Regions from separate parts of the Mus musculus genome. Here all the other regions are reported to be linked to region 3. The links are microRNA targets in miRTarBase. Many come from high-throughput screens and were not tested one by one. Region 3 holds a microRNA gene; each other region holds the end of a gene's coding sequence.

The links. The annotated mature microRNA mmu-miR-466c-3p reads AUACAUACACGCACACAUAAGA and lies in region 3 at 6,286-6,307, opposite strand. An mRNA with a match to its seed (bases 2 to 7 or 8) in the 3' UTR can be bound and repressed. Matches are read on the target gene's strand: a 7mer-m8 pairs with bases 2 to 8, a 7mer-A1 pairs with bases 2 to 7 and ends in A, and an 8mer does both.
Region 1: miRTarBase lists Cd28 as a target of mmu-miR-466c-3p. Seed matches in the 3' UTR shown: 7mer-A1 at 8,504-8,510, 7mer-m8 at 8,467-8,473 and 7mer-A1 at 6,261-6,267.
Region 2: miRTarBase lists Ado as a target of mmu-miR-466c-3p. Seed matches in the 3' UTR shown: 7mer-m8 at 6,335-6,341.

What each region holds. Positions count from the first base shown.
Region 1 is chr1:60,769,514-60,779,062 of GRCm38, reverse strand. It overlaps Cd28 (CD28 antigen), which reads right to left. Exons shown (of 4, transcript NM_007642.4): 4 at 5,704-9,406. The coding sequence ends at 9,278. It overlaps 2310016D23Rik (a long non-coding RNA gene), which reads right to left and starts at 602. Exons shown (of 3, transcript XR_865459.1): 1 at 147-602.
Region 2 is chr10:67,540,194-67,551,026 of GRCm38, forward strand. It overlaps Ado (2-aminoethanethiol (cysteamine) dioxygenase), which reads right to left and starts at 8,762. Exons shown (of 1, transcript NM_001005419.2): 1 at 4,318-8,762. The coding sequence starts at 8,580. The coding sequence ends at 7,810. It overlaps Egr2 (early growth response 2), which reads left to right. Exons shown (of 4, transcript NM_001373983.1): 4 at 1-1,995. The coding sequence ends at 795.
Region 3 is chr2:10,491,794-10,502,626 of GRCm38, reverse strand. It overlaps Mir466b-7 (microRNA 466b-7), which reads right to left and starts at 6,359; the gene lies at 6,272-6,359. All of the region lies in intron 10 of Sfmbt2 (Scm-like with four mbt domains 2), which reads right to left. It overlaps Mir467a-8 (microRNA 467a-8), which reads right to left and starts at 6,647; the gene lies at 6,565-6,647. It overlaps Mir669p-2 (microRNA 669p-2), which reads right to left and starts at 6,130; the gene lies at 6,044-6,130. It also overlaps Mir467a-9, Mir467a-7, Mir466b-6, Mir669a-9, Mir466b-2 and Mir669a-10, and 1 more gene.

The sequences.
Region 1 (9,549 bases), not on the chromosome of region 3:
ATCTGACCTTTTGGGGAGCAATTTCCTATTCTTGGCTGCACAAATGAAGCTAAATCTTACCCTATTTCTAAAATGCCCAGATAGAATGAATGAGTGTATGGCTCAGAGTGCCCCCACAGGCTGTTTCCAGAAAGAACTATTTGTACCTTGGGTGTAACCAGCAGCTGTAGACAAACAGGGTGGAGCAGCGATAAGGGATGACAAAGGCCGGGTCAGTGTCTATGATCTGTATAAAGCTGACTTTCACGCCTACCTGTGAAATGCCAAGCTTTAGTTTGCCCTTCCAGTGGGCAGCAGCAGGGGTTGCGGGTGCGGGTGAGGGTGTGCTCTCCTGGTCACCTATAAATAGTAGCTAAATTTAGATTTGAAAAAGTCATGGAAAGTGGTAGGAGGCCAGTCCTGAGACAGCTGCTTCTGGTCTCTGCTCCACCCACTCCACACTGGAGCTGAGTGTGGTCCATTTGGAAGGATTTGCAGGGTAATTCGTCTTTTTCATTACCTTGGACACGGGCCATACCCCCCCACCCCCACTGTGAATAAAAATTTATTTTGTTTCCTTGGAGATTGCATGGATTTGATGGTTGGACGAGAGGGAAAAGAGCAAAGAAAATGTAACAGTAATCATTGGGCTTTTAGCACTAATTTCCCGAGGATGCTGTCATCTTGAAATTCTCGTCCCCTTTGCTTTTAGTTTCCTGTTTCTCCTCCCCAGGATAGCTCTCTCTTGGATAAAGTCTCTCCCTCATTCTCTGCAAATCCTTGCCTTTTTTTTTTTTTTTAAATAAAGTTACTTGGACACTCACACTCCCAAGAGGTCTTTACATGCACCCAGACTGATCCCTTCTAGATGGTGTCTGGCGTTCAAAGACAAGCTCAAAGCTTAAAAGTGGTGCCTTGGTTCTGTCTCAGAGGTCAGCAAACTGCGGCCTACAGGCCAAGTCTAGCCACTGTCTGACACTGCACAGGCCATGAGCTGAAGAATGGATTGTATGTGTACATACGGCTAGGGTGATGGTGCAGCAATCAGAGGAATCACAATATCTGGCAAGAAAATTAAAGGAGAATCAAATACCAATATCCATAAGTAAAAGCTTGCTGAAATACAGCTAATCTCAGTTGTTTGTCTACAGTGACAGACTGCAGTAGCTACAAGAAACTATACAGTCACCAGAGTAACAGTAGATACACAATGTCTAAGTTCTACAGTCAGGACTAAGTAGGTGCCTTAAGGTGAATAGAAGGAGGTGAAGGGTTGTAAAATACACTCTGATTGGTCCACGCAGAGATAAGGACAACAGCGTTGCTCTATCGTTTCTCCTGTACCCAGTCCGCTTTTCAGAGCTGGGAAGACGGTCATCAAAATGTTGTTGGATGAATGAAGAAGAAGACAGGACAGAGAGGCACAAAGCAAATGAAACATGAGTTGCACCCTGTTTGGAATGAAAAAGCATCCCCATGACAACCTCCAGCTAGTCTTGCTTCATATCATCTATATCACTGGTTCCCAGACGTTAGCAAAAACCCTCACTTTGGATGCCAACGTATCGAATGCTCAGTGTGTGCATAAGAAATTGAAAAAAAAAGTCTGTATGAATCTGGCTAACTTTGCTGATGCTAATTCAAACCCACCTTTCTGACCCTCTTCCTCAGTCACCAAATGTACATCAATTTAGTCTAGACACTAAACTCAGATGAGGAAGTTATCAAGGGAAAGGAAATCAAATGTAAACTTCATAAATAAACCTTTTGTTCATCTCTCTCTCTTCTTCCCTCCCCCTCCCTCCCTCCCTTCCTCCCTCTCTCCCTCCCTCCCTCCCTCCCCATCTCTGTGCTTGCAGGTGACACCCACACATATCCTTCAGCGTTGGCAGAGATGTTCACTCAGATAATGACTGGAGTTCATGCTACCTGTTCTCATCTTCATGTGTCATCGTCACCATGCAAAACCACAACTATAGGAAAACAGAGCTGTTTGCTGCTCTTCTGTCTCAACTGACATTTCCACCCAGTTCACAGCTTGCCCTTTGGAGACAAAGGAGATTATCTGTCATTGAGATGCCTTTACATAATGAAGTATGAGTGAAATCCAGGCTATCCTTTACAACTTTTTATCCCCTTGAGTTTGTAGCCTTTCCAATCCTTTCGCAGAGTTTAAGTGGGCAAATGGCATAGGGCATGGCCTTTGGGAAGCACACATTCTGATCCTTGATTTTGCCCCAAGAGTGAGGTCAGCTCAGAAAGTCTGACATATTCTTGGACACACAGACTTTCAATGCAAGTAGTTTCAAGCATTGGGTCCAATGTCAACCCTGAAATGAGCAAAAGGCACTTAAGCTAGTGTTTCACATACTGCTCTGGACAGTAGTCTACAGTTTTAAGAACCATAAACCTATGATTCAAAAAAAAAACAAAAACAAAAACAAAAACCACACACACACCCTACTTTCAGAATGTCAGATGGGAAAACATAAGGAGGTCCAATCTCTCAGATGTATTTCTCAAAACCCAAGATCCTGAGTACCACTGCCAGCACATCAATGGAGGCTCAGTTGAGGAGAACACAGAGCACACCATCAGCAGGTTTCTAAGGTGGTTCCCAGACCATCTGTAGCTGCCTTTTACTGTGGGGGTCAGATTTCTGTTGCAATGAACCCAGGAGTTTCTTTGATTTGTCTCAACTATCTATCATCTCTGTTCCAGATATAACGAGAGATGACAAAAGATACTGCTTAAATAGGAATGTGGGTCTAGGGAGGTGGCTCAGTCAGTAAGGGACCTGTCGCATAAAGATCTAAGTTTGGATCCATTCCAAGCAGTCACGTAAAGAGTCAGGCTTTAAGGGGCTCACCTGACGTACTAGAGCTGGGAAGGTGGAGGCAGGAGCTTACTGCAGCTCACTGGCATGAGTCCTACATTCAGTGAGAAAGTCTGTCTCAAAAAGTACAGTGCAGAATGATAGAGAAAATATCCAACATCAGCATGTACATGCATACACATGTGCTTATGCACACACACACATGCACACACACACATACACAAAGATATATACACACATGGCTCTTCCCACTGAAAAGGAAACTACCCTGGGCTGGGGATGCAGCTCAGTTGTTTGCCTAGATGGAGCCCTGGACTGAATCTCCTACAAAGTGCACTAAAGGCTGTTGTTTGTTGATTGTAAATTCTCACATTTGTGGGGTTAAGACATGATAGAGGGGCCTGTCTAGTGATGTCATAGAATTTGCCTTGTGTTATACCTTGAGGATGAGTCTGGAGGTACCTCAACTTTTTAACAGGTTATACAATTTTCCATTAGTACAATAAACACATCCTTACTGAGATCTGTGCAGAGGTTTTTCCATCTATTAATCTGGTACCTTTCCAGTTTGATCTGATTTCCCTGTTGAAACATCCACGAGACTAGCTGATTCCAGACTTTCTTAAGTAGTAGCCTGGATGTGAGCTCATCTTTTTCAAGCTTTCTCTGCATTTATTGAACTCCACAAGTCTCGTTTCAACAAAACAAAGAGTGGGTTTAAAAATGAGTTCATCATGTACCTTGTTTACTCCAGGTCATCTGCAAAGGAAAACTTAAGGCCAAATAGAAACAGCTACATGGATTACCAAGTATCAGACAAGCTCTTGTGTCTGTGGCTCAAGTGTCTCCTCCTCCACACACAGGATTCTTTTGCACTGCCCCCCACCCCACCCCACCCCCAGCCACTGTCCGCTGATGTGTGTGTTAAATACTAGTATGGTATAAATTTTCAGCTTGCTCCCAATGCCACGTATTTTGCTTGTTTGCTCTTCTTTTTGGCTGAAGCTGTTGCAAGCTTTTCAAGCACCCACTTACGCCATGAGCAAGACAGGTAAAGAGACTGGCATTTCCTGTCCTGACCATTGTTTGAGATCTTTTTGGATCAGAGCTAACAAAGCATTTCTAGACTTCACTGGAACAAAATCACTCCACAGAGAAGAGCAGTAATTCAGCTGTAGGGTGAGTTTTTAACTACAAAAGCCATATTTTCAGAAACCAGAAGCTAAAGATGGGTTTAAAGCATTGACAAAATGCTTCCCTCAGAAACATGGGTTTTAAATGAAAAAACTCTCAGTGCCAGGCATGGGATATGTCATAGAGACTGCGGAGGCCCGCAAGGCAGCAGAAGCTGCTATTGTCCTGGTTGCCCACCTTAACTGCATGGTAAAGCCCTGCTGCTGAAGATACAACAGACTTTAATTACAGAACAGAACAGAGTAGTCAAGGTAGAAATGGCCTGAGAATTTCTTTCCTGCTGGTTAACTTTCATAGTGCCGAGAGGTGCTTTTCTGGCAACTGAGGGGTGGGGTGGGGTTATAAACAATGCCACCAAGAACCGGTCCCTGGAGGCTACAATATCAACCTGACAGAGAAGATGTGCCCACAGATGCAATGGTGACAGGAAGGTTATGGGTTAACCAGTCACTTTCTGATTAGATTTGAGTCCTACACTATAGGAAGGAATTGATGCCTGATACTGTGAACCTGGTCAAAAGTCCGTGGCTCATGGTTCATAAGTCATAGGTCATAATAGGGAACCCACTGCTATTGTTTTACTGAATAGACAGGTAAGACTTCCTTCTAAATATTTCTTTTTATATCCATAGGTAAGTGCTGCTCTCAGCCTTTGCCAAATAAGCCTCTTTTCTGCACTAGGCAGAAACTGGTCAGATTGGTGAGAATGAGTGACTTTTGTGTTTTCTTCAACCCTAAATGGGAATCTGTAGCAAGCAACCTTTCCCACAAAGTTCGGGGGACGTCATGGAAGAGGGAACTAACTTATAGAATGTCAGAGCCAGAGAGTGTGGCATGCTGTGACATGCTGTCTTCTAGATATGCCACAGCCACTGCACAGCCATTGTACTATGAACTTACAGGAGCCATGGCTACCTGTACAAGACCTGTTCAAGGTCAAGCCACCATGACTGGTACACATTCCAGCAAGTGGCACTAACTGGACTAGGTGGGTTACCAAAATGAAAAGAAAAGGAAAAGAAAGGGGAGGACGTGAAAACAAGAGGGGGTTGTGCATTGGGGACTGCCCAGGGCCATGGTGGCCAGGAGCTGGGTATGGGTATTGTCAGATACAGCGAACAAATGCATGAAATTGTCAACAATGTTATTTTTATTTATTTTTTATGTGTGTGTTTTGCCTAAATGAATGTCTGTTGGACCACATAAGCATCTGGTGGCCATAGAAATCAAAAGAGAGCATCAAATATGGGTGCTGGGAAACAAACCTGGGACCTCTGGAAAAATAGCCCATGTCATGCTCTAAATGACTGGGATATCTCTTCAGCCCCAATAACAACATTTTAAAAGAAGGTTCCAAAAAATAAAAAATAAAAACAAAAAGGATGTCAAGAAGCTATTGAGAGAGAACTTGAGAACTTTAAATGGAAAATCAACCTATTCCTAATTGGTTGTTTTTAGAATAACATTTTTAGAATGACTCCGACTGTATTCATCTTTCAGGATGCATGAAAATTTCTAAGCTGTAAATGAATTTGTATCAATGATATGTCCTTCTACCAGATTTCTCTGTGTCTGCTTTACCTCTTCTGTCTCTAATAGGAAGTGGAAAACAGAAGTGATTCTGCTTCCTTCTCAGACTATGAGCAGATCATTCAGATTTGCCACTAACTCATAAACCCACGTGAAATCCATCTAGTCAATGAATAAATATTTATTGCAGGCTAAGCATTATTCTAGGCACTGGGGATACAGCAATAAAATCAAAGCAAATGGAGTTCTTTCCCTTTGGAGATCCGGTGTAGATTTAGGAAAAAAAACAGGCAATAAACCAATAAATAAGAAAAATACCTATTAGTAGAGTTATAGAGAAAATAAAACAAGGCATGGAGACAGGTTGTACAGGTAATTAACTACAGTTGAAGGTGGCATTTGGGCAAATATGTCAAGGAAGTAAGAGCAAACCAAGTAGATATCTATGAAATAACATTGTAGACAGGGAAAATAGTATGAATAGAATGTGTTAAGTCCCTGGTACAGAAACAATCTTGATATTTGCATAAACATAGCAGTGCAAGAGAGATTTAAGCTTCACCTGTCTTTGTAGAGAGCATAAACTCATTCACAAGTCCTGAGAGAACCCACACTACTGTGCTTAACTTGGGTTAATGGTGGCTATATGGACATGAACATTGCAATTTCTGGTCCATCTTACCATGTAGTTGAATTTAACATATTCAGGTAAGTATACAAGTTACATATAGTTCCCATATGGTAGTACAGAAAGCTGGGATGAGAGATCAGACATCCATTTGACCATCAGTATGCATATTAAAATAGCCATTGCAGATTAGTGGCTCACTCCGTTGACTAAATGATTGAAGACCTAAATGATTTGAAGGCTCAATCAAGTTATATCTGTCCCCAGCAGTCACATTACAGAGAATACATTGGGTAAACCCAGACTGAAATCTCCAAGAGATAAAACATTGGCCTACTGATAAACTGCTACTGACTCGTAGCAAACCAACCACAGCTTGTATTTCTTCCATAGAAAAACAACGTTTTGAAAATCTGCAGAGAAAGAGACAGACAGAGAGATACACAGAGACAGAGAGACACACAGAGAAAGACAGAGAGAGGGAGAGAGGAAGAGACAGAGAAGTGAGGGAGGGGAGACATATGCACAGGAGAGAAAGAGAGAGACAGAGACAAAGAGACACAGAGAGAGGAAACCAAAGGTGTTAAAAATGTTTGTCATACACTTTTTCAAAATCTCTCCCAACTCACTGCAAAGGGGGTGCATACCTGCCCTAAGAAAAACATTAAAGCACGAGTTTAAACACAGGCATGTGCTAGTGTGGTAATTTTATCATTGGATGTAGCTATAAGGTACACCGGGTCTCTTTAAAATTGGCATGCTCGGTACCAAATAGGTGAGCTCATAATTAGAAATTACAGGCACACCTTTAGTTCTTAGACTCTTACAATAATAGCAGCAAGTGACATAGTTTTCTTCATACACACTACATCTGAAACTGCAAAAGCTTTACTCTGACCCAGTGTTTTTAACCCGCCTGTTGGTTCATACCGAGAGCGAAAGGCTTTGGACACCTATGTTTCGGTTGTGTTCAGAGGAGGTATGAAAACTTTCAGGTGTGATTCATCTCCAGTAAACCTCCTTTTCCAGTTAGAAAACAAAGTTATTGATTGCCAAAGACCAAATCTTTCCGTTTAAAAAAAAATGGTTTGTTATTTGCTATGACCCTTTCTATAAATTCTCCAGCTCTGTCATTTTCAAATATAATTTTATAACTTAGATTCAAGAACTCTATGTGTCAAGAGGCTGACTGCAATCACAAGGGCCAGCATTCTTTTATCACACAAGTAGGGCTAATCTTGGCCTTCTCTGGTTTAATTAAAAGCACAGAATAGAAGCCATTAAAAAAAAAAAAAACCAAAGCACAATATCTTCTGTCTAGAATTAAAAGATTCCTATCTTTTCTTACCCCTCATATTAAAAAAAAAGTTTAAAGATCTCTTTATACACAAAAACAGTGGGGGGAGGGGAAATGCCTCATGTTTGATTACAGGATATTCCAATTAGCTGGAAAGTTATTGAAGCTGAGAGATTATCACGAGTTTGGGTCATGATTGTGCACTCCTGAAATCCCAACTCTTGGGAGGCAGAGGCCAGAGGATCTTAGCAAGTTTCAGTGTGGCCATCTTACAGTTGAGGAGTCATAGACTTGGATGAACAGTGACTTGCCTGAGGCCATTTAACTCATAATGAAATGTTTTTTAAACCAGGTCTTCCTGACTTTAAAACCTCTGAATAATTCAAAGCACTATACAAATGGTGAAGACAGCTGGACAGCCGTTCTTCAAGGTCCCCAGATACATTCCAGTTGATCCGAACTGGAAGCAAAAAAGAAAGTCCACCTTCATTCCAGTATCAGGTCTTGTAGGTACTTGAGAACTTTGATGTCGTCCCTAAAGACACATTCCAAAATAATTGTTCATGTCAATGTATCCCCATGGTATGAAGCAGCTGAGCCCACAAAGTTCTGGAGTCCTGAGTCCTAGGACATATAAAATCCCTCTAAACTGTAGAGTCTAAAGGAACTTATACTGGGGCTCCCAATGGTGCCTTCTGGAAAACATCTATGTCTTTCATACATGGCAAGAATGACCTCATTCCCTTCCTCAGAGGAAGCTTCCTGGAATGCATCCTTACCACCCTGACAAATACTAACACTACCCTTTTTGTTCACAGTATCATGACTAGCAATATATAGACACAATTTCAGATATCCATCCACAAAGGACAACAAGTGGCCCAACTGTAAGAAGTTGAAACTTAAAATGATTTGACTATAACAGGCTACTAAACAGATAACTCTTCATAGCATTTTGTGTGTATGTATATGTGTGTGTGTGTGCACATAGGTATGTATGTATACATACATATGTGTACGCGTTTGTTTTTTTTTTTTTTTACATAAAGTGACCTTACTTCCTCTCACATTCTTCTTGGTGTGGGAGGGCTATCTAGTTCTGAAATCATGTTGTGACTATTAATAATACTGAGTTCCCATGACCGGGAATGAGGAAAGAAGCACTGGGGGGTGCTTTGAGGCCATTCCATGAGTCAATGTGATTAAAAATGGTCAGAAATCATTAAAAAAATATGTCCACAACTTTCTAAACTAACAGGAAAACACTATTTAGGAGCTAAGTGGCTCATTTCATGAGTGAAAAAAGTGTTTTCATTATTTTTCAAATAGTTAAGTACTATACTCTAACCTATCCCCACCCCAAACACCAACTTAGCCAAAGAGAAGGTTTTTCTATCCTTTCTTCTCTGTCCAAAACATCTTTGGCTATCACACCACATGACTGAAATGTGCTGGCAAGTGAAAACGGGGCAGGGCTCATCCAGGAGCCTGCAAATTGACTTCCCAAGGCTGAATGAATGATCTTTTTGATTGCTCTACTCTAACTTCCCCAATCAAGTCAATAAATGTATTAAGCTTGAGTTTGGGTCAAGCCACACAGACTTTATCCTGCCATAGAAGCTTCTGTCATTCATTCCAGAGTCTCAAGATGATCATGATGTTAGATCTAGACACTCTAAAATAGTTGGCATTGGTGGCCCAGTAGAGGTCCAAAGTGGCCGGCTGAAGATGAGGCTGTCCTTTCCTATCCAGAGCAGTGATGATGAGCAGGTAGACGGGTACCAGCCGGCGGGCTTCTGGATAGGGGTCCCTGTCAGGGGCGGTACGCTGCAAAGTCTCTGGCAGGGGCGTAGGGCTGGTAAGGCTTTCGAGTGAGCCCAGGCCTCCGGGGAGTCATGTTCATGTAGTCACTTTGAAGGAGTCTGTTCCTTCTACTATTTGTCTAGGGGGGGAAATGAAAAAAGAAAAAGGTCAATATGGAAGGACTTAGAGGAGGTATTATTGGAGGGGTTCTAAGACTTTAGGGATAATTACTCAGATCATCAGCTGTTAAATGACCCTGAGGAGCCTTTTTGTGTGCCTTGG
Region 2 (10,833 bases), not on the chromosome of region 3:
TCCTACCCATCCCCCAAGCCAGCTATGGACCCAGGTCTCATTCCTATGATCCCAGACTATCCTGGATTTTTTCCATCTCCGTGCCAGAGAGATCCACACGGTGCTGCTGGCCCAGATCGAAAGCCGTTTCCCTGTCCTCTGGACTCCCTGCGAGTGCCCCCTCCACTCACGCCACTCTCTACCATCCGTAATTTTACTCTGGGGGGTCCCGGTGCTGGAGTCACGGGACCAGGAGCAAGTGGAGGTGGTGAGGGACCTCGGCTGCCTGGCAGTGGGTCTGCAGCAGTGACTGCCACCCCTTATAATCCGCACCACCTGCCATTGCGGCCCATCCTGCGACCTCGAAAGTACCCTAACAGGCCCAGCAAAACGCCAGTGCACGAAAGGCCCTATCCCTGCCCAGCAGAAGGTTGTGATAGGAGGTTCTCACGCTCTGATGAGCTGACCAGGCACATCCGAATCCACACGGGCCACAAGCCCTTCCAGTGTCGGATCTGCATGCGAAACTTCAGCCGAAGTGACCACCTTACTACTCACATCCGAACCCACACCGGGGAGAAGCCCTTTGCCTGTGACTATTGTGGCCGCAAGTTTGCCAGGAGTGACGAAAGGAAGCGCCACACCAAGATCCACCTTCGGCAGAAGGAACGGAAGAGCAGTGCTCCCTCTGCACCTCCATCTGCCCAGTCTTCAGCCTCTGGTCCTGGGGGCTCGCAGGCCGGGGGCAGCCTGTGCGGTAACAGCGCCATTGGAGGACCACTGGCCTCCTGCACCTCTCGAACCAGGACACCGTGAGATGAAGCTCTGGCTGACACACCAGTTTCTCCAGGCCCCAGAGGCCCTCTGTCCGAGCTGCCAACACTACCACCCTTCCCTGTTCCTCCCCATGATCCCGTGATCTGGGCAAAGGACCTTGATGGAGCCCAGCTCTGTCCCACCTTCTCACGGACGGCCTTCCGAAAACTTAGGCCATTTGAAGGGAGTTGACTGTCACTCCAAGAAATGGGGGAGCAAAAAGAGGGCTGGGTGAGGGCCCCTGGCCTACAGGGCTGCGCTCTGACCCTGACTGAGAGATGTCTGACTATGGTCTGCTAGCCCTTTCCGTTGACCCTGGATGCCAGTTGTTCTGAGACTTTTTCTACAATAGGTTGGGAGTTGCTGATTCCTTTGATCGAGGACAGCGGAAAAGACTAAATTAAAGCAAAACTGATGTGGCACTTTAATGGCTTGGGACTGACTTGGGGGTGGGGGTGGGGAGTTGTACAGTGAGCAGAGCCTCATCCTGGCTGCTGCACTCTGGCCCTAGAGCAGTGAATGGAGGTTTCTCTGGCCATCTCAACCCTTAAGCAATATGTCCTAGAAACTCAAGAGAATGGAAGTGCAATGTCGGGCAGGACAAAGCAATATTGGCTCCTTTTTTTGTTGTAGTTGAGGAACAAAGATTATTTTTTCAGTGTATATCCATTTAGATTTTGTGTATTTTTGATGTGCACTGCTCTCCGAGTTCTGAACCTTCGGGAAAAAAATGTAAAGCATTTATGATCTCTTGAAATGAGTCAAAGGTTAACTAACTTATTTAAAGGGGGACGTACATAGGATGCATGCAGTGAGTGGTGTTGCAAGTGTCCTCTGTGCCTTGTGTGATGTGGGCAGTGTTAACAGGGTCTGCATGTGTACAGGATGCCTTACTATGGGAACAGAAAAATCACTCCTTGGGTTTAAGTATGGCTGTATATTTCTGCCTATTAATATTTGGAATTTTTTTAGAAAGTATATTTTTGTATGCTCTGTTTTGTGACTTAAAAGTGTTACCTTTGTAGCCAAATTTCAGGTGAGAATGTGCTTCAATGTCACTGCCGCTGATTTGTTTGGTTATTAGCTCTTAATAGTTGTGGAGAGAGAAACAATCTATTCTAACATAAAAAAACCACTAACTGGAGTTCAGATAATGGATGGCTTATTGACTATGGTGTAAATAAATACTTTTCAACAATATTCTGGTTGCAGAGATCATTTCTGAAGTACTTACTGGGTGGAGTTAAAATAGTTATTGACATCTGAGAACTAGGAACAAACACCGCTTTAGTGAGGGGTTAGCACAAGCCCTCCATGTTCCCTTGCTGGCCTGTGGATAACAAGCCCTACCTAGCTAGGCTTCAGGGATTTCCCGCTGAGTTAGTGAGGAAGCCTTCTGACTCACTGTTCTGTCCCCTGTAACAGCCTATAGCTTCTCTCTGCTCCTGAGTGGGCTCCGGAAAATAAATACTTACAAGCAAGTGCCCACTCAGAGATGACACCCCCCAGGGCTGCTTTCAGAACTCTGACCACGGCCTGGAACTCTGAGTTGTGGCTTTGTGGAAAGTGTGGCAGCATGGTCAAATTAGAAATGACTTTCTGAGTTCCAGGATTAATCTTACAACCACAGGAAACTTTTTCAAAGAGCTATCATTCCTTCAGATCAAACCTGCTCGGACACCGCTGATGCCAGCTGATGCCAATGAAACGGCTTCAGCAATTACCCCAGGACTCATTTCTCTCCAGTCCTGGCGTCTCAGATGGTTGCCCATGTTTGGAGGGATCATTTGTCACAAGCTTGGTGGATCTAGAAATGATTCTCAAAATAGCTTAAGATAGGTAGACACGAGGCTGTAAAACTCCAAGACAATCTAAACTTACTAGGTAAGCTGCCTCCCCCAAAACATTATAAAACTCTAAGGTTTCTTTTTTACTGGGAACATTTTATCATTTTCTTTTAAACTCAAAACCATCTGACCTACCCACTTGTGTTATGCGCGTTGGCATCTTTACTCTGAAAATCTGGACCTCAATATTTATAATGTCCACTGCTCCTTATGCAATGTAATCTGCGGGTGTAGCCACACTGCTCAGCCTCAACAGAAAACCCCTCCCTTGCTTCTGGTCCCTGTAAAGTCCCTGAGGCTGATGGCTACTAATCAAGGGCTTGCATTCTACAGTGGTGGTCACATCTTTGGCCCTTAACAGCACAAGGATAAGAGATTCAATTTATGGAGGCCACTAGTGCCCCTCCCCAGTCTCCTTCCTTTAACCCCCTTTCATGGGTATAGAAACTTCTTTCCAGAACTCCTAAATAGAAATTTCAAAACCTTTAGTGTGGGATGGTTTCCTTATAATTTCCCACTGGACTCGGGCTGTCAACTACCAAAACTATTATTGTTACTTATCCAATACTGGCAACTATAAAGCCACACCACATCGTGGTAACTTTTAAATACCTTTCTCCTGCAAAACTTTCATTATTTAAAGATAGTACACACCTAAATTTTGTAGTTTTTAGCTATCTTTAAAATTTTAATTTTGGACCACATTCAATCAAGATCACCCAAGCCAGGATTTTAAAAGCAAGACTAAACATCACTTAAAGAACAAGACAAAAAGAAGTCTCCATGCTAAAGCACACCGGTTATGTGATCAGTTCCATCCTGGTGTGGTAGCAAACCTCCCCAACAAGCCATAAGATTCAGTACACCTGAATGGTCAGAGCTACCCTTTCTGCTTCTGTCCCCAGTTACTTACATACCCGATATCTTTAACCAACTTTCTCAGTTTAAAAGCATTCAGGCCAATTCTCCTGACATTTAAAATTTTTGCCTAAGAAATCACCACAGAATGGTAAATTTGGTTCTTTTAATCCCTCCCCTGCGTCCCCCAAATGTTTCAGGTTTTGTGCAGAGAGATTCCTTAAGAGATTCATGCCAGAGATGGTTTCATTTGTATAACAAACAGCTGATGAAACCTAAATGACTTCCTCAAGCCAGGATATTTAATATCCGTATCCTAATTGTTTACGAGACCAAGGCAAATCATTTCATAAAAGTTTTCAACTGTTGGAACAATTCAGCATGTGTGTGGAGGCATGTAGATAGACTCCTAAATGCTGCCAGTCCAAATGGTAACCATGGAATTACTAAGACAAAAAAAAGAGATGAAAACACTTTAAGCCTTAAGATTTTCTTTCCTTTTAGGATAAAAATTGACTTTGTTTTTCTTGCTAGTTTCTTTAGATTAAATACAAAAGCAGCCTTTTCTGTTACAGCAAAATAGTGTAATTAGACAGTAAATACTCTCAGATGTATTTTCAGTCGGCTTGCTTCAAAGACCACTCACAAGAAAACAAACTAAGTTTATACCACTTCTTGGTCTTTGGGGGATCTGTAGGTCACTGGCTTTTGATACAATACAACCTTATGGAATAAACTGTGAGTTTTCAACAATAATTAAAATAGTAATAGTTATGTTTCCCTTCTCCACTTTGCAATAAGCAACATTATTTCTACGTAATTTTAAACATGCTTTTATTTCCCATAAGTACACACATCTTACTCAGAAACGTAAACACCCCTGCACTGTAAGACTGGGTATTGTTAAGAAATGATCTCCTTTGACAGCAGAAACCTCAGCACAATGGACCAATCTGGGTTCTGTATAACCCTACACTCTGAATTCAGGCCTGCGGTAGAGGAGCAAACGCTGTCAGGAGAGTGGCAGAGTGACGAAGTGGGGGTAACTGTCTCTCTGCTGGGCAGGACAGGAGAGCTAAAGCAGTTGACTCATTTGCCATCAGAGCAGGTAGGTTCTCCCCAGATGTCAAGTTCAAGGAACCTACAAGACAATGCAAGGATCGAGTGGGGAAGGAAAGGTGTACATTTTGACAGTCATGTTAAAAACTCAAGAGAACTCACTCCTATTAACATAGAAAACACATTACCTAAAAGGCAGGGTTTTTTTTTTGTTGTTGTTGTTTTTTAATGTAATCAGCAGCATGTGGTAGTAAACCCATCAATTCTCAAAGGAGTAGGAAGGTATGAAAATCTTACATCGATATAACTGGTCACTGATAGAACTACAAGGTTGAAAAGGTTCAGTGTATTTAGACAGACAGACAGACAGCGTCTCACTCAGGATCTAGTTATTGCATTTATTATTCATCAGAACAGTTAAGTGACTTAACACCATTGTGCTCATTGGTCTTTTCTAAGAAAAGGAGAAGGTAACTTTTATCCTAATTTCTAGACCACAATCTATATTGTAGACCTACAGGGAAACACAACGGCAGAAGTTATAGCTAATAGTTTATGCATAGACGTGCAAGGATTTTTCTGCACATTTTATCTTAGTAACGAGCATATTCTTTCTCAAGTGGCTCATTAAAACATATTACACTGTTTTCACCGTAAGTTTACTCAGTTTATTAGTGAAATGACAGTTTCACTGTTCCTATTGAACTAATGAGGAACACAGTATTGCTGTTTTAGCTCAGAACAATTTCGTTACTCTTTTGAAAAGCACCTTAGGGTTTTTTTCCTTCCAAACTGCTTATAACAAACCTTTAATATTTCTCCTCCTTCTTTTGCAATGAAGGCCTTCATAATAATTGTTATTACTAGCCCAATTCCAGGCTAGACTTCTACAGGCTCCATGAAAGGACCTCCAGAGTATGCTGTAAAGTACACATGACTCTCAACAATCCTTGTAAAGGAATCAACCTTTGCTGCAATTCAAAATCTGTATGTGGCTGAAAAACCATATTCATTATTAATATTCTATGAAAATAGTCAAATTTAAAACCATCACTTCCTATCTAGATGTTCATACGAGTGGCTCAAAGAGCTGCTTCGAGAGGCTCCAAAGGCATTTTAAAGACCATGATCAGAAAGAACTTGAACTCTAGCAGCCATGGTGGAAGTGTTTGGGTGTTGCTCATGGTTTGTCAGGTTTAAAGCAGGTTTCCACTGGCCTGTTGTTCTCATTTTTATTAAAATGAAACAAACAAACAAACAAACAAAAAGCCACAAGCCAAGCCAGCAATAATTTGCTGTCTCGTACCACTTTAATGACTGCACCGGGAAGGACACCCCTTCAGCCTGGATGTGTATCCTGGATACATGGAGCCAAAAGCAGTTTGTTTCCCTGCCAGGTCAACAAACATTTGTCACTCATGACAGTAAGTCTCCATTTATTGCCGATATTAGTATATTCTATTGCCACATGAGCCATCAAGAGAGCTTAGAAGACAGCTGGGCACATCTGATTTCTACAGTTTGTCTTTATGAAAAGGCCTGTGATAAAAAGGAACCCTACACATAGTAAACAGGGGAAACTGGTGGTCCATGGTCAGAATCGATAGACACGTCTGTAAACATGGTAAAGGGGCTGAGCCTCCGCCAGCCATAATACTGCAGCAGCGCTAGGGTTTGCTGCAGTGTTGGCATAGGGTTTAGTCTCCAATCTTGGTGCCCTAAATGGCTAAATTCTCAAGCATCTATTCCATGTATCCATTTCATATGTGTGTGTGTACATACATATGTATATGTGTATATATACATATTCATATGTTATGTATACACACACATTTATATGATGGTGTCTTATGCATCCACGGTTCCGCTCAAATTCACTATGTAGCCAAGTCTGACCTTGACTTCTGATCCTCCTGCCTATATTTCCTAAATGCTGTGTGCTACACTTGGTTTATGTGGTACTGAGGATTGAGCCCAGGGCTTCTTGCCTGCTTAGCCAGCAGCCTACTTCCAGAGCCCCTCCCAGGGTACTACATGCTCTCTACCTCTTCCTGCAAGAGAAGGCAGTAGTAGGCAGCACTGGCTCTTGTTTAAGGGAGTGCTGGGAGGCTATCTCCCGGCAGCACAGCTGGAACCACACAGCTCCTCTGCAGGCTCCCTCCACAGAGAACGCAAAAAAACAAAAACAAAAAACCAAAACAGAACAAAACCAACAACAACAACAACAACAACAACAACAAACAGTCAAGAGTATCTTTCTCTTCTTTCCTAGGAAGAAGCTGGAAGTAAATACGAGTATGGAATTCAACAGGTGGCCAGGGCCTTTACATTCAGTTATTTGGAAGCATAGCAGATTCCGCTCCTCGGAATCGTCTGGTTAGAAAACACATAATTATTGTATCATCTTTGAAGCACGTCAAGGAAAAAGTCAGCTGAGGATAATAATCGTCTTTGCTTTAAAGGCAAATCCCCAATAGCAACAAAAAAATTTGTTTAAACGACAGATCTTGAGACCCAAGGGAAAGACGAGCTTTAAGGGCCTGACAAGAGAATTCGCGTATGTGACCTTCTTACTAAAGGTTACCTGAGTACACCAGAAGTGGCTACCAAGCCAGGGGAGGAAAGACATCGTCCTCAACACGCACAGTTATGAGGGTGAACCCCAGTGCTAGAAAGATGTCTTTTCAGAACTCCTCACTTTAGATGCTGAGTAGTTTGTGTGTGTGTTTTAACCAAACGAATAACTAAAAAAAAAAAAAAAAAAAAAAAAAAGAAAACAAGAACAATTCAAGGTCATGCACAATCAGTAATAAATTAAACTATTAAGGAGCAATCGTGGGCAGGAGAGAAAACAAATCTGAGTCACCGAAGGGAAGAGGGATTCAAAACTACTTAGTGTATTTTGTAGAGAATGAGAAACAAAAATGGTTTCATTATGGCTTTAGGATGGAAGCGCTTTAGGGTCCCTGCCCGGTTCCCTTAAATCAAAGCCTTGGTGGCACTGAGGATACCAGGAATCAACCTAGCCTTCCGCCCACCCGCCCCCATAACCGTGCCCGGTGGTGGCTGTACTCCAGTGGGCCGTGTTCCCCAAGGTTCCTCAAGATGTGGCGCTGGTCACTCCAGTAAATCCATCGTCCAGGCGAGGGGGCGGAGAGAAGAGCCCTTATGGAAGATAGAGGGCAGCCAGGCCTTTCTTGAGCAGGGCAGGGTACATCTTTGGCCCACAGTTCCCCGGGCGGCAGGAGCTTCAAGGTAGGACCTTGGGGCCTGGATAGGGCTCTCCCTCGCACCAGAAGTCGTCGGCCTGTGGTGTCTCCAGGAGCCACACTTCTCGGGGAAGGTCGCAGGCAGAGCCGGAAGCCTCCTTGGGTCTGATGGGCTCCACTACACGGTAATAGTGGCAGTCCCGGCCGTCCTCCGGGTCGTAGGGTGGGGCCAGGATGTCCAGGAAGGCAGCTGGCCCGTCCACGGCATCAATCTGGTGCAGGTTGTCCCGGTGTGGAGTGAGCACGCAGGGCCCACTGGCCTCGGTGTACTCGGCCCGGGAACGCAGCACGCCCGGTCGCACGGCCTCCCGCTCCAAGGGCTGCAGCGGGGGCTCGAACTGCTGCTCTGGCGGCGGCCGCCGATGCCCGGCCCCCGTGTCCAGCTTGTCCATGCAGCTGATGCGGACCGTGCCGTACAGCACCTTGAGCATACCGTGCATGCCCGGGTGGTCGTGCAGCGGGATGCACGTGCCGCTCTTGAGCAGGAACACGCCCAGGCTGAAGCCCTCCGTCTCGTAGATGTGCATGTAGGTGACCGGCGGGAGGTTGCGGGGCAGCGGCTGCGGCAGCGCCTTGCGCGGCGCGATGTTGAGGTCCTCGGCGCGCACCTGGGTCAGCAGGCTCTTGAGCAGGCTCAGGTTCTCCGGGAAGCCCGGCGCCGGCCCTTCGGAGCCCGTCGAGCTGCCGCGGAAGGTGAGACACGCCTGGCGAGCGATGCGCTGGATCAGGGAGGCCATGTTGTCGCGGGGCATGCTTGGCGCTTCCTGCGCGGCTCGCGGCCGGCCCGTTCCGCCTCTGCGCCGCCCCTTGCGGTCTCCGGCGGCCGCCACGGCTACCCGCGCGGACCCCCGCGCCAGGCGGGAGACCTCCCCGCAACAACCGGCCAGCGGGGCGCGCGGGGCCGCCTTGCACGGTCGCCCGCTTAGCGCGCCAATGGTCGGGCGCTTGCCCGCGCGCGAAGGCGAGTGCGCACGCGCACGGCCGCTACCCGCACTCACGCTCCGGGGCCCAGACAGGCGCTGGCGCGGGCCGTGCCAGGCGCTGCCTCACGCGCGGAGCTCCATTCACGCGGCCCACACCAACGACTACAGCCGGGCGCGGCGGGAGCGCCGCAAGGCACGCTGGGATGTGTAGTCCGAGCCTGCGCTTGCGCGGGGCACGAACGCGTCCTGCGGAGCAGGGGAAACCAGGATTTTTTTAAGAACTTGGCAGAAAGCGAGCAGCGCGTTCGTTTTGCAGAGCCTCAGGGTGTTTACTTGTTTGATAAAACTGAACTATTATTGCAAGAGATATAGCCAGTTAACTACAACTCCCGCCATCCCCGCAGTCGGGGTGACATACTTCCGGCAGCTGGTGGAGGCTTCTCGCCGCTGGGAAAAAAACGGCACAAGAGGGTCGTTAACCTTCTTGTGCCGCTAGGGCCTGCTGGGTCACTCGGGGTCACCTTTGACCCTTGCTCCCTAGGAATGAGGTTTCGGGGTCAACCTTAGCTGCTCGTAGGCCACACTGTGTGCGCCGTGGAGATCTGTGGATGGCGCTTGTCTATTTTTCTGTTTCTTAGGAGGTGAATGGGGTCGGGCGGGTAACCAAAGCGGTCACCCAGCACAGCTGTGCGCAGCTGTTGTTTGCCTCTGGGCCTGATGACGCTGCTCCTTGACTCACTGATAGCGGGAAGCTTTGAGAGGCCATTTGCTACAGCCAAGGGTTCTGTATACTAGTGGTTATCCATCCGTAGGGCGCCCGAGAAACACCAGTTGAGGGGCAAGGGGCGTTTTGTCAGAATAGATTATCGCTGTCATGAGTCTCTAGAGCAATGCAACTATCGGGCTGGTTTATGAAGTTAGGTCACCGCAGAGTGATTATTCTCTGGACTTTTTGCAGACGTAGGTGGTGGCTGGCAAAGGAAGATAGTAGATATTATGAATTTAAATCTTACCCTTGAATTTAAGGTCTTCTTGGACTTTCAGAATTAAACATGGGTTTATAACTGCAGTGGCCCAGGAAATCCTTTTCAGTTAAGAAGGCAGGCTTTTAGTGTGTATGTGTGTGTGGGTTTTGCATCCTAGCCAGTAAGTGTGGTATTCCAGGTACCTTGTTAAATACATTAAATAATGAGTTTTATCTTAGTAATACCCTCACAGAAACTTTTAAGACGTAGGCACTGACTGTATTATTCCCCGCCTGTACACGAGAGATTAATTTGCAGGTGCGCATTTGGAAAAGACGTAAGTGCAACTTAACGAAACACAGTTTGAATTGGTGTAAAAGGAACCAAGGGACACAAGGACGTAGCTTCTGCAGCTTATTGTGGTGCTCACAAGCTGTGGCTTTCTGCACAGCGTACCTTTCCAAGTCCTCAGTTCATTCCTCCAAAGAATGCTGGGTTTGATGCATCCAGACTTCTGAGTCATTGTTTCTCACCCAAAGTCCCTCGGTAGCTTAAAGGGCGATTCTAGACGTTATACCCCAGGGCTTCTGATTCAGTATTGGGGTGAAGGATAGAATTCTGGTTGAGAGGTGCCCACTGAAGTGGTTCGAGGTTCAGCACCCATGTTGGGGGGGGTGTCACTGTGAGATCTGTAAATGGTGAGCCAACCCCATTTACATTCCACAGTAAGAGCAACTATTTGGCTACGTAAATGGATCCTTAAGATTACTTGTGTTTGAGCCGGGCAGTGGTGGCGCACGTCTTTAATCCCAGCACTCGGGAGGCAGAGGCGGGCGGATTTCTGAGTTCGAGGCTTACAGAGTGAGTTCCAGGGATAGCTAGGGCTACACAGAGAAACCCTGTCTCAAACAAACAAACAAACAAAAAGATTACTTGTGTTTTAGAAGCTGGTGGTGTGCCATCCTTAAATGCACTATGGAAGTTCATCATGTAAGGAAATCCCATGCAGTTTATTTGTAAAGTAAGGAATATTTAAGAGAAAGTTCTTTTGTTTTCACATACAGATTTTTTTGCTTACTGGCTTTACTTGTATAAAGAGTAGTTAGCAGGAGAAACA
Region 3 (10,833 bases):
AAAAATCACATGAATTCTGGACTGATCTCTAACTCACCATAAAGATGAACATGAATTTGAACTACTCATCCTCATGATGCTGGCAAGAGTATTCACCTCCTAACTGAGTCAAAGATCTGGCCATTAGTGTGAGTATGTTTGCATGTGAGTATATGCATATTCATGTAGAGAAGTGAATATGTACACAACTATACACACATGCACATTCTTCGTGGGCATCACATGAATCGCATGCTGAACACTAACACATCAAGAAGTTAAACATGAATTTGAACTCCTCATCCTCCTAGCTCTGGCAAGCATACTCACCGCCTAACTGAGACATAGCTCTGGCCATTCCTATGAATGTGTTTGCATGCGTGTATATGCATATTCATATAGAGAAGTGAATATGCACACAACTATACACACATGCACATTTTTGGTGGGCATAAGATGAATCCCATGCTGATCATGAACTCATCATGAAATTCAGCACGAATTTGAACTCCTTATCCACCTGACTCTGTCAAGGGACTTCACCTGCTGAGTGAGACCTCTCCCCATTCAGTACTGAGGAATCTTAAAACTCTAAGTCACACGTCATTCAAATGGATCGATGAGTTGCACTGATGTTTGTGTGTGTGTTTCTGTTTGTGTCTCTGTACATGTACTTATTTGTGTAGATAGGTACATCCATATACTCAAATCCACACACAATAAAAACAGATAGAATAGAGATACATAGGGGACATCACATGAATCCCAGGCATATCTCTAAGTCATCATGAAGTAAAGCATGAATTAGAACTCCTGATCCACAATCTTTCACACCTGGTGAGTAAAACCATTCACTGTCCCACTACTGCATAATATTTAAAACTTTAAGTCACATATCATTCAAATGTATAAATGAATGCAATTTTTTTCCTGTGTGTGTGCTTGCATATACATGTGTGTTTATGTTATGTATATCATGTCAACACATACAATGAACATACAAGTAAGCACACATACATATACATGGGTTGCATAACATTAATACCAAGATGTCTCCAAATGAAGTTAAGCATGAATTTGCAATCTTTATCCTCCTGACTTTGTCAATCTTTTACACCTGGTGAGTGAGGACATTCAATGTCCCCTATGGCATAATCGCTAAAACTCTACATCACTTATCATTCAAAGGGATTGGCGAATGCCATTCCTGTGTCTGTGTATGTGTGCTTGCGTTTATACGTGTGTGTGTATGTTATGTATATTCAAATATAGACATGAACATGCACACACAACTATACACACATGCACATACATGGTGGAATCACAGGCTGATCTCTCATGAGGATAAGTATGAATTTGAACTCCTGATACTCTTAACTCTAGCAAGCATTTTCACTCTAAGTCACTTATCACTCAAATGGATTGATGAGTGCCATTCCCATGTGTCTGTGTGCTCATATGTGTCTTATGTGTGCGTGTATGTATATGTATATCATATTCACACATGTACATGTACACACACATCAACACATACACACATACATAGGGGCAATCACATGAATGCCAGGATGACTCTAACTCATCATGCCTTTACCATGAACTTGCACTCCTGATCTTCCCGACTCTACCAAGGGTTTTCCCGTGGTTTGTGAGACCTCACCCTGGCCCAGTCATACATAACCTCCAAAGCAGTAGGTCACATTTCATTCAAATGGATCCGTGAGGGCCATTCCCGCATGTCTGTGTGCATGTGTGTGTAGGTGTGTGTATGTATATGCATAAAATATACACGCATATACATGCAGGCACTTACGCACACAGGCACATACATAGGGGCCATCACATTAGTCCAGGATGATCTCTAACTGCTCATGAAGTTAAGCATGAAATTGAACTCCTGATCTTCCTGACACTGCCAATTGTTTACACCTGGTGAGAGAGAATATTCACTGTCCCTCTACTTTATAATCAGCAAAATTCTAAGACATATATCATTCAAATGGATCAATGAGTGTCATTCTTATGTGTGTGAGTGTGCATGCCTGTGTGTGTGTGAATACATTTGTATGTGTGTGTATTTATAGGGATGATCATATACACACATGTACGTGCACACACAATTATATGCACATGTACACACCTAGGGTCCATGACGCAAATCCAGGGTGATCTCTAACTCTACATGAAGTTAAGCATGAATTTGACACGAGAAGACTCCTAACTCTGGTAAGCGGTTTTCATGTGATAAGTTGGATGTTTCCATATACCATGAATATACACTCAATGAAACTCTAAGCACGTATAAATCAAATGGCTGACTGACATGTGTGTTTGTGTGCACATGTATGTGTCCCTCGGTGTGTGTGTGTGTGTGTGTGTGTGTGTGTATGCATGTTCATATACACACATGTACAGGCACACTTCCCTATACACATACACACATACACAGGGAAAATCACATGAATTCTGGACTGATCTCTAACTCATCATAAAGTTTAAATGAATTTGAACTGCTCATCCTCATGATGCTGGCAAGAGTATTCACCTCCTAACTGAGACAAAGATCTGGCCGTTAGTGAGAGTATGTTTGCATGTGAGTATATGCATATTCATATACAAAAGTGAATATGTACACAAGAATAAACACATGCACATTCTTGGTGGGCATCACATGAATGGCATATTGAACTCTAACTCATCATGAAGTTAATCATGAATTTGAACTACTCATCCTCCTGACTCTGGCAAGAGTACTCACCTCCTAACTGAGACATAGCTCTGGCCATTCCTATGAATGTGTGTGCATGCGTGTATATGCATATTCATATAGAGAAGTGAATATGCACACAACTATACACACATGTACATTTTTGGTGGGCATAAGATGAATCCCATGCTGGTCATGAACTCATCATGAAATTCAGCACAAATTTGAACTCCTGATCCACCTGACTCTGTGAAGGGACTTCACCTGCTGAGTGAGACCTGTCCCCATTCAGTACTGAGGAATGTTAAAACTCTAAGTCACACGTCATTCAAATGGATCGATGAGTTGCACTGATGTTTGTGTGTGTGTTTTGTTTGTGTCTGTGTACATGTATATATTTGTGTAGATAGGTACATCCATATACTCAAATCCACACACAATAGAAACAGATACAGATAGATATACATAGGGGGCATCACATGAATCCCAGGCATATCTCTAAGTCATCATGAAGTAAAGCATGAATTAGAACTCCTGATCCACAATCTTTCATACCAGGTGAGTAAAACCATTCACTGACCCACTACTGCATAATATTTAAAACTTTAAGTCACATATCATTCAACGTATAAATGAATGCAATTTTTTCCTGTGTGTGTGTGCTTGCATATACACGTGTGTTTATGTTATGTATATCATGTCAACACATGCAATGCACATACAAGTAAACACACATGCACATACATGGGTGGCATCACATGAATACCAGGATGATCTCTAACTGAATTAAGCATGAATTTGAAATCTTTATCCTCCTGACTTTGTCAATCTTTTACACCTGGTGAGTGAGGCCATTCAATGTCCCCTATTGCATAATCTCTAAAACTCTACATCACTTATCATTCAAAGGGATTGGCGAATGCCATTCCTGTGTCTGTGTATGTGTGCTTGCGTTTATACGTGTGTGTGTATGTTATGTATATTCAAATATAGACATGAACATGCACACACAACTATACACACATGCACATACATGGAGGAATCACAGGCTGATCTCTCATGAGGATAAGTATGAATTTGAACTCCTGATACTCTTAACTCTAGCAAGCATTTTCACTCTAAGTCACTTATCACTCAAATGGATTGATGAGTGCCATTCCCATGTGTCTGTGTGCTCATATGTGTCTTATGTGTGCGTGTATGTATATGTATATCATATTCAGACATGTACATGTACACACACATCAACACATACACACATACATAGGGGCAATCACATGAATGCCAGGATGACCTCTAACTCATCATGCCTTTACCATGAACTTGCACTCCTGATCTTCCCGACTCTACCAAGGGTTTTCCCGTGGTTTGTGAGACCTCACCCTGGCCCAGTCATACATAACCTCCAAAGCAGTAGGTCACATTTCATTCAAATGGATCCGTGAGGGCCATTCCCGCATGTCTGTGTGCATGTGTGTGTAGGTGTGTGTATGTATATGCATAAAATATACACGCATATACATGCAGGCACTTACGCACACAGGCACATACATAGGGGCCATCACATTAGTCCAGGATGATCTCTAACTGCTCATGAAGTTAAGCATGAAATTGAACTCCTGATCCTCCTGACACTGACAATTGTTTACACCTGGTGAGTGAGACCTTCACTGTCCTTCTACTTTATAATCAGCAAAATTCTAAGACATATATCATTCAAATGGATCAAAGAGTGTCATTCTTATGTGTGTGAGTGTGCATGCCTGTGTGTGTGAATACATTTGTATGTGTGTGTATTTATAAGTATGATCATATACACACATGTACGTGCACACACAATTATATGCACTTGTGCATACCTAGGGTCCATCACACAAAAACAGGGTGATCTCTAACTCATTATGAAGTTAAGCATGAATTTGAACTCCTGAGACTCCTAACTCTGGCAAGTGGTTTTCATCTGATAAGTGAGATTATTCACTATACCATGAATATACACTCAATGAAACTCTAAGCACGTATAAATCAAATGGATGACTGCCATGTGTGTTTGTGTGCACATATATGTGTCCCTAGTTGTGTGTATATATACATATGCATGTTCATATACGCGCATGTACAGGCATACTTCCCTATACACATAAACACAAACACAGGGAAAATCACATGAATTCCCGGCTGATCTCTAACTCATCATAAAGTTAAACATGAATTTGAACTACTCATCCTCATGATGCTGGCAAGAGTATTCACCTCCTAACTGATTAATAGCTCGGGCCATTCATGGGAGTATGTTTGCGTGTGAGTATATGCATATTCATATACAGAAGTGATTATGTACACAACTATACACACATGCACATTCTTGGTGGGCATCACATGAATCGCATGCTGAACTCTAACTCATCATGAAGTTAAACATGAATTTGAACTCCTCATCCTCCTGACACTGGCAAGAGTACTCACCTCCTGAGACATAGCTCTGGCCATTCCTATGAATGTGTGTGCATGTGTGTATATGCATATTCATATAGAGAAGTGAATATGCAGACAACTATACACACATGCACATTTTTGGTGGGCATAAGATGAATCCCATGCTGATCATGAACTCATCATGAAATTCAGCACAAATTTGAACTCCTGATCCACCTGACTCTGTCAAGGGACTTCACCTGCTGAGTGAGACCTCTCCCCATTCAGTAATGAGGAATCTTAAAACTCTAAGTCACACGTCATTCAAATGGATCGATGAGTTGCACTGATGTTTGTGTGTGTGTTTCTGTTTGTGTCTGTGTACATGTATATATTTGTGTAGATAGGAACATACATATACTCAAATCCACACAAAATATAAACAGATACAGATAGGGATACATAGGGGGCATCACATGAATCCCAGGCATATCTCTAAGTCATCATGAAGTAAAGCATGAATTAGAACTCCTGATCCACAATCTTTCACACCTGGTGAGTAAAACCGTTCACTGTCCCAGTACTGCATAATCTTTAAAACTTTAAGTCGCATATCATTCAAACGTATAAATGAATGCAATTTTTTTCTCTGTGTCTGTGCTTTCATATACACGTTTGTTTATGTTTTGTATATCATGTCAACAGATGCAATGCATATACAAGTAAACACATATGCACATACATGGATGGCCTCACATGAATACCAGGATGATCTCTAACTGAATTAAGCATGAAGTTGAAATCCTTATCCTCCTGACTTTGTCAATCTTTTACACCTGGTGGGTGAGACCATTCAATGTCCCCTATTGCATAATCTCTAAAACTCTACATCACTTATCATTCAAAGGGATTGGCGAATGCCATTCCTGTGTCTGTGTATGTGTGCTTGCGTTTATACGTGTGTGTGTGTATGTTATGTATATTCAAATATAGACATGAACATGCACACACAACTATACACACATGCACATACATGGAGGAATCACAGGCTGATCTCTCATGAGGATAAGTATGAATTTGAACTCCTGATACTCTTAACTCTAGCAAGCATTTTCACTCTAAGTCACTTATCACGCAAATGGATTGATGAGTGCCATTCCCATGTGTCTGTGTGCTCATATGTGTCTTATGTGTGCGTGTATGTATATGTATATCATATTCACACATGTACATGTACACACACATCAACACATACACATATTCATAGGGGCAATCACATGAATGCCAGGATGACCTCTAACTCATCATGCCTTTACCATGAACTTGCACTCCTGATCTTCCCGACTCTACCAAGGGTTTCCCGTGGTTTGTGAGACCTCACCCTGGCCAGTCATACATAACCTCCAAAGCAGTAGGTCACATATCATTCAAATGGATCCGTGAGGGCCATTCCCGCATGTCTGTGTGCATGTGTGTGTAGGTGTGTGTATGTATATGCATAAAATATACACGCATATACATGCAGGCACTTACGCACACAGGCACATACATAGGGGCCATCACATTATTCCAGGATGATCTCTAACTGCTCATGAAGTTAAGCATGAAATTGAACTCCTGATCCTCCTGACACTGTCAATTGTTTACACCTGGTGAGTGAGACCTTCACTGTCCTACTTTATAATCAGCAAAATTCTAAGACATATATCATTCAAATGGATCAATGAGTGTCATTCTTATTTGTGTGAGTGTGCATGCCTGTGTGTGTGACTACATTTGTATGTGTGTGTATTTATATGTATGATCATATAAACACATGTACGTGCACACAAAATTATATGCACTTGTGCATACCTAGGGTCCATCACACAAAAACAGGGTGATCTCTCACTCATTATGAAGTTAAGCATGAATTTGAACTCCTGAGACTCCTAACTCTGGCAAGTGGTTTTCATCTGATAAGAGAGATTTTTCCCTATACCATGAATATACACTCAATGAAACTCTAAGCACGTATAAATCAAAAGGATGACTGCCATGTGTGTTTGTGTGCACATGTATGTTTCCCTAGTTGTGTGTGTGTGTGTGTGTGTGTATATATATATATATATATATATATATATATATACATATATATATATATATATATGCATGTTCATATACGCGCATGTACACGCACACTTCACCTATACACATAAACACAAACACAGGGAAAATCACATGAATTCCGGGCTGATCTCTAACTCATCATAAAGTTAAACATGAATTTGAATTGCTCATCCTCATGATGCTGGCAAGAGTATTCACCTCCTAACTAAGTCATAGCTCGGGCCATTCGTGGGAGTATGTTTGCATGTGAGTATATGCATATTCATGTACAGAAGTGAATATGTACTCAACTATACACACATGCACATTCTTGGTGGGCATCACATGAATCGCATGCTGAACTCTAACTCATCATGAAGTTAAACATAAATTTGAATTCCTCATCCTGACACTGACAAGAGTGCTCACCTCCTAACTGAGACATAGCTCTGGCCATTCCTATGAATGTGTGTGCATGTGTGTATATGCATATTCATATAGAGAAGTGAATATGCACACAACTATACACACATGCACATTTTTGGTGGGCATAAGATGAATCCCATGCTGATCATGAACTCATCACAAAATTCAGCACGAATTTGAACTCCTGATCCACCTGACTCTGTCAAGGGATTTCTCCTGCTGAGTGAGACCTCTCCCCATTCAGTAATGAGGAATCTTAAAACTCTAAGTCACATATCATTCAAATGGATCGATGAGTTGCATTCATGTTTGTGTGTGTGTTACTGTTTGTGTCTGTGTACATGTATATATTTGTGTAGATAGGTACATCCATATACTCAAATCCACACACAATAGAAACAGATACAGATAGGGATACATAGGGGGCATCACATGAATCCCAGGCATATCTCTAAGTCATCATGAAGTAAAGCATGAATTAGAACTCCTGATCCACAATCTTTCACACCTGGTGAGTAAAACCATTCACTGTCCCACTACTGCATAATCTTGAAAACTTTAAGTCACGTATCATTCAAACGTATAAATGAATGCAATTTTTTCCTGTGTGTGTGTGCTTGCATATACACGTGTGTTTATGTTATGTATATCATGTCAACACATACAATGCACATACAAGTAAGCACACATGCACATACATGGGTTGCATGACATTAATACCAAGATGTCTCCAAATGAAGTTAAGCATGAATTTGCAATCCTTATCCTCCTGACTTTGTCAATCGTTTACACCTGGTGAGTGAGGACATTCAATGCCCCCTATTGCATAATCTCTAAAACTCTACATCACTTATCATTCAAAGGGATTGGCGAATGCCATTCCTGTGTCTGTGTATGTGTGCTTGCGTTTATACGTGTGTGTGTATGTTATGTATATTCAAATATAGACATGAACATGCACACACAACTATACACACATGCACATACATGGAGGAATCACAGGCTGATCTCTCATGAGGATAAGTATGAATTTGAACTCCTGATACTCTTAACTCTAGCAAGCATTTTCACTCTAAGTCACTTATCACTCAAATGGATTGATGAGTGCCATTCCCATGTGTCTGTGTGCTCATATGTGTCTTATGTGTGCGTGTATGTATATGTATATCATATTCACACATGTACATGTACACACACATCAACACATACACACATACATAGGGGCAATCACATGAATGCCAGGATGACCTCTAACTCATCATGCCTTTACCATGAACTTGCACTCCTGATCTTCTCGAATCTACCAAGGGTTTTCCTGTGGTTTGTGAGACCTCACCCTGGCCCAGTCATACATAACCTCCAAAGCAGTAGGTCACATTTCATTCAAATGGATCCGTGAGGGCCATTCCCGCATGTCTGTGTGCATGTGTGTGTAGGTGTGTGTATGTATATGCATAAAATATACACGCATATACATGCAGGCACTTACGCACACAGGCACATACATAGGGGCCATCACATTATTCCAGGATGATCTCTAACTGCTCATGAAGTTAAGCATGAAATTGAACTCCTGATCCTCCTGACACTGACAATTGTTTACACCTGGTGAGTGAGAATATTCACTGTCCCTCTACTTTATAATCAGCAAAATTCTAAGACATAAATCATTCAAATGGATCAATGAGTGTCATTCTTATGTGTGTGAGTGTGCATGCCTGTGTGTGTGAATACATTTGTATGTGTGTGTATTTATATGTATGATCATATACACACATGTACGTGCACACACAATTATATGCACTTGTGCATACCTAGGATCCATCACACAAATACAGGGTGATCTCTAACTCATTATGAAGTTAAGCATGAATTTGAACTCCTGAGACTTTTAACTCTGGCAAGTGGTTTTCATCTGATAAGTGACATTATTCCCTATACCATGAATATACACTCAATGAAACTCTAAGCACGTATAAATCAAATGGATGACTGCCATGTGTGTTTGTGTGCACATGAATGTGTCCCTAGTTGTGTGGGTGTATATATATATATATATATATATATATATATATATATATATATATATATATATGCATGTTCATATACGCGCATGTACAGGCATACTTCCCTATACACATAAACACAAACACAGGGAAAATCACATGAATTCCGGGCTGATCTCTAACTCATCATAAAGTTAAACATGAATTTGAACTGCTCATCCTCATGATGCTGGCAAGAGTATTCACCTCCTAACTGAGTCATAGCACGGGCCATTCGTGGGAGTATGTTTGCATGTGAGTATATGCATATTCATATACAGAAGTGAATATGTACACAACTATACACACCTGCACATTCTTGGTGGGCATCACATGAATCGCATGCTGAACTCTAACTCATCATGAAGTTAAACATGAATTTGAACTCCTCATCCTCCTGACACTGGCAAGAGTGCTCACCTCCTAACTGAGACATAGCTCTGGCCATTCCTATGAATGTGTGTGCATGTGTGTATATGCATATTCATATAGAGAAGTGAATATGCACACAACTATACACACATGTACATTTTGGTGGGCATAATATGAATCCCATGCTGATCATGAACTCATCATGAAATTCAGCACGAACTTGAACTCCTGATCCACCTGACTCTGTCAAGGGATTTCACCTACTGAGTGAGACCTCTCCCCATTCAGTACTGAAAAATCTTAAAACTCTAAGTCACATGTCATTCAAATGGATCGATGAGTTGCACTGATGTTTTTGTGTGTGTTTCTGTTTGTGTCTGTGTACATGTACATATTTGTGTAGATAGGTACATCCATATACTCAAATCCACACACAATAGAAACAGATACAGATAGGGATACATAGGGGACATCACATGAATCCCAGGCATATCTCTAAGTCATCATGAAGTAAAGCATGAATTAGAACTCCTGATCCACAATCTTTCACACCTGATGAGTAAAACCATTCACTGTCCCACTACTTCATAATCTTGAAAACTTTGAGTCACATGTCATTCAAACGTATAAATGAATGCAATTTTTTCCTGTGTGTGTGTGCTTGCATAAACACGTGTGTTTATGTTATGTATATCATGTCAACACATACAATGCACATACAAGTAAGCACACATGCACATACATGGGTTGCATGACATTAATACCAAGATGATCTCCAAATGAAGTTAAGCATGAATTTGC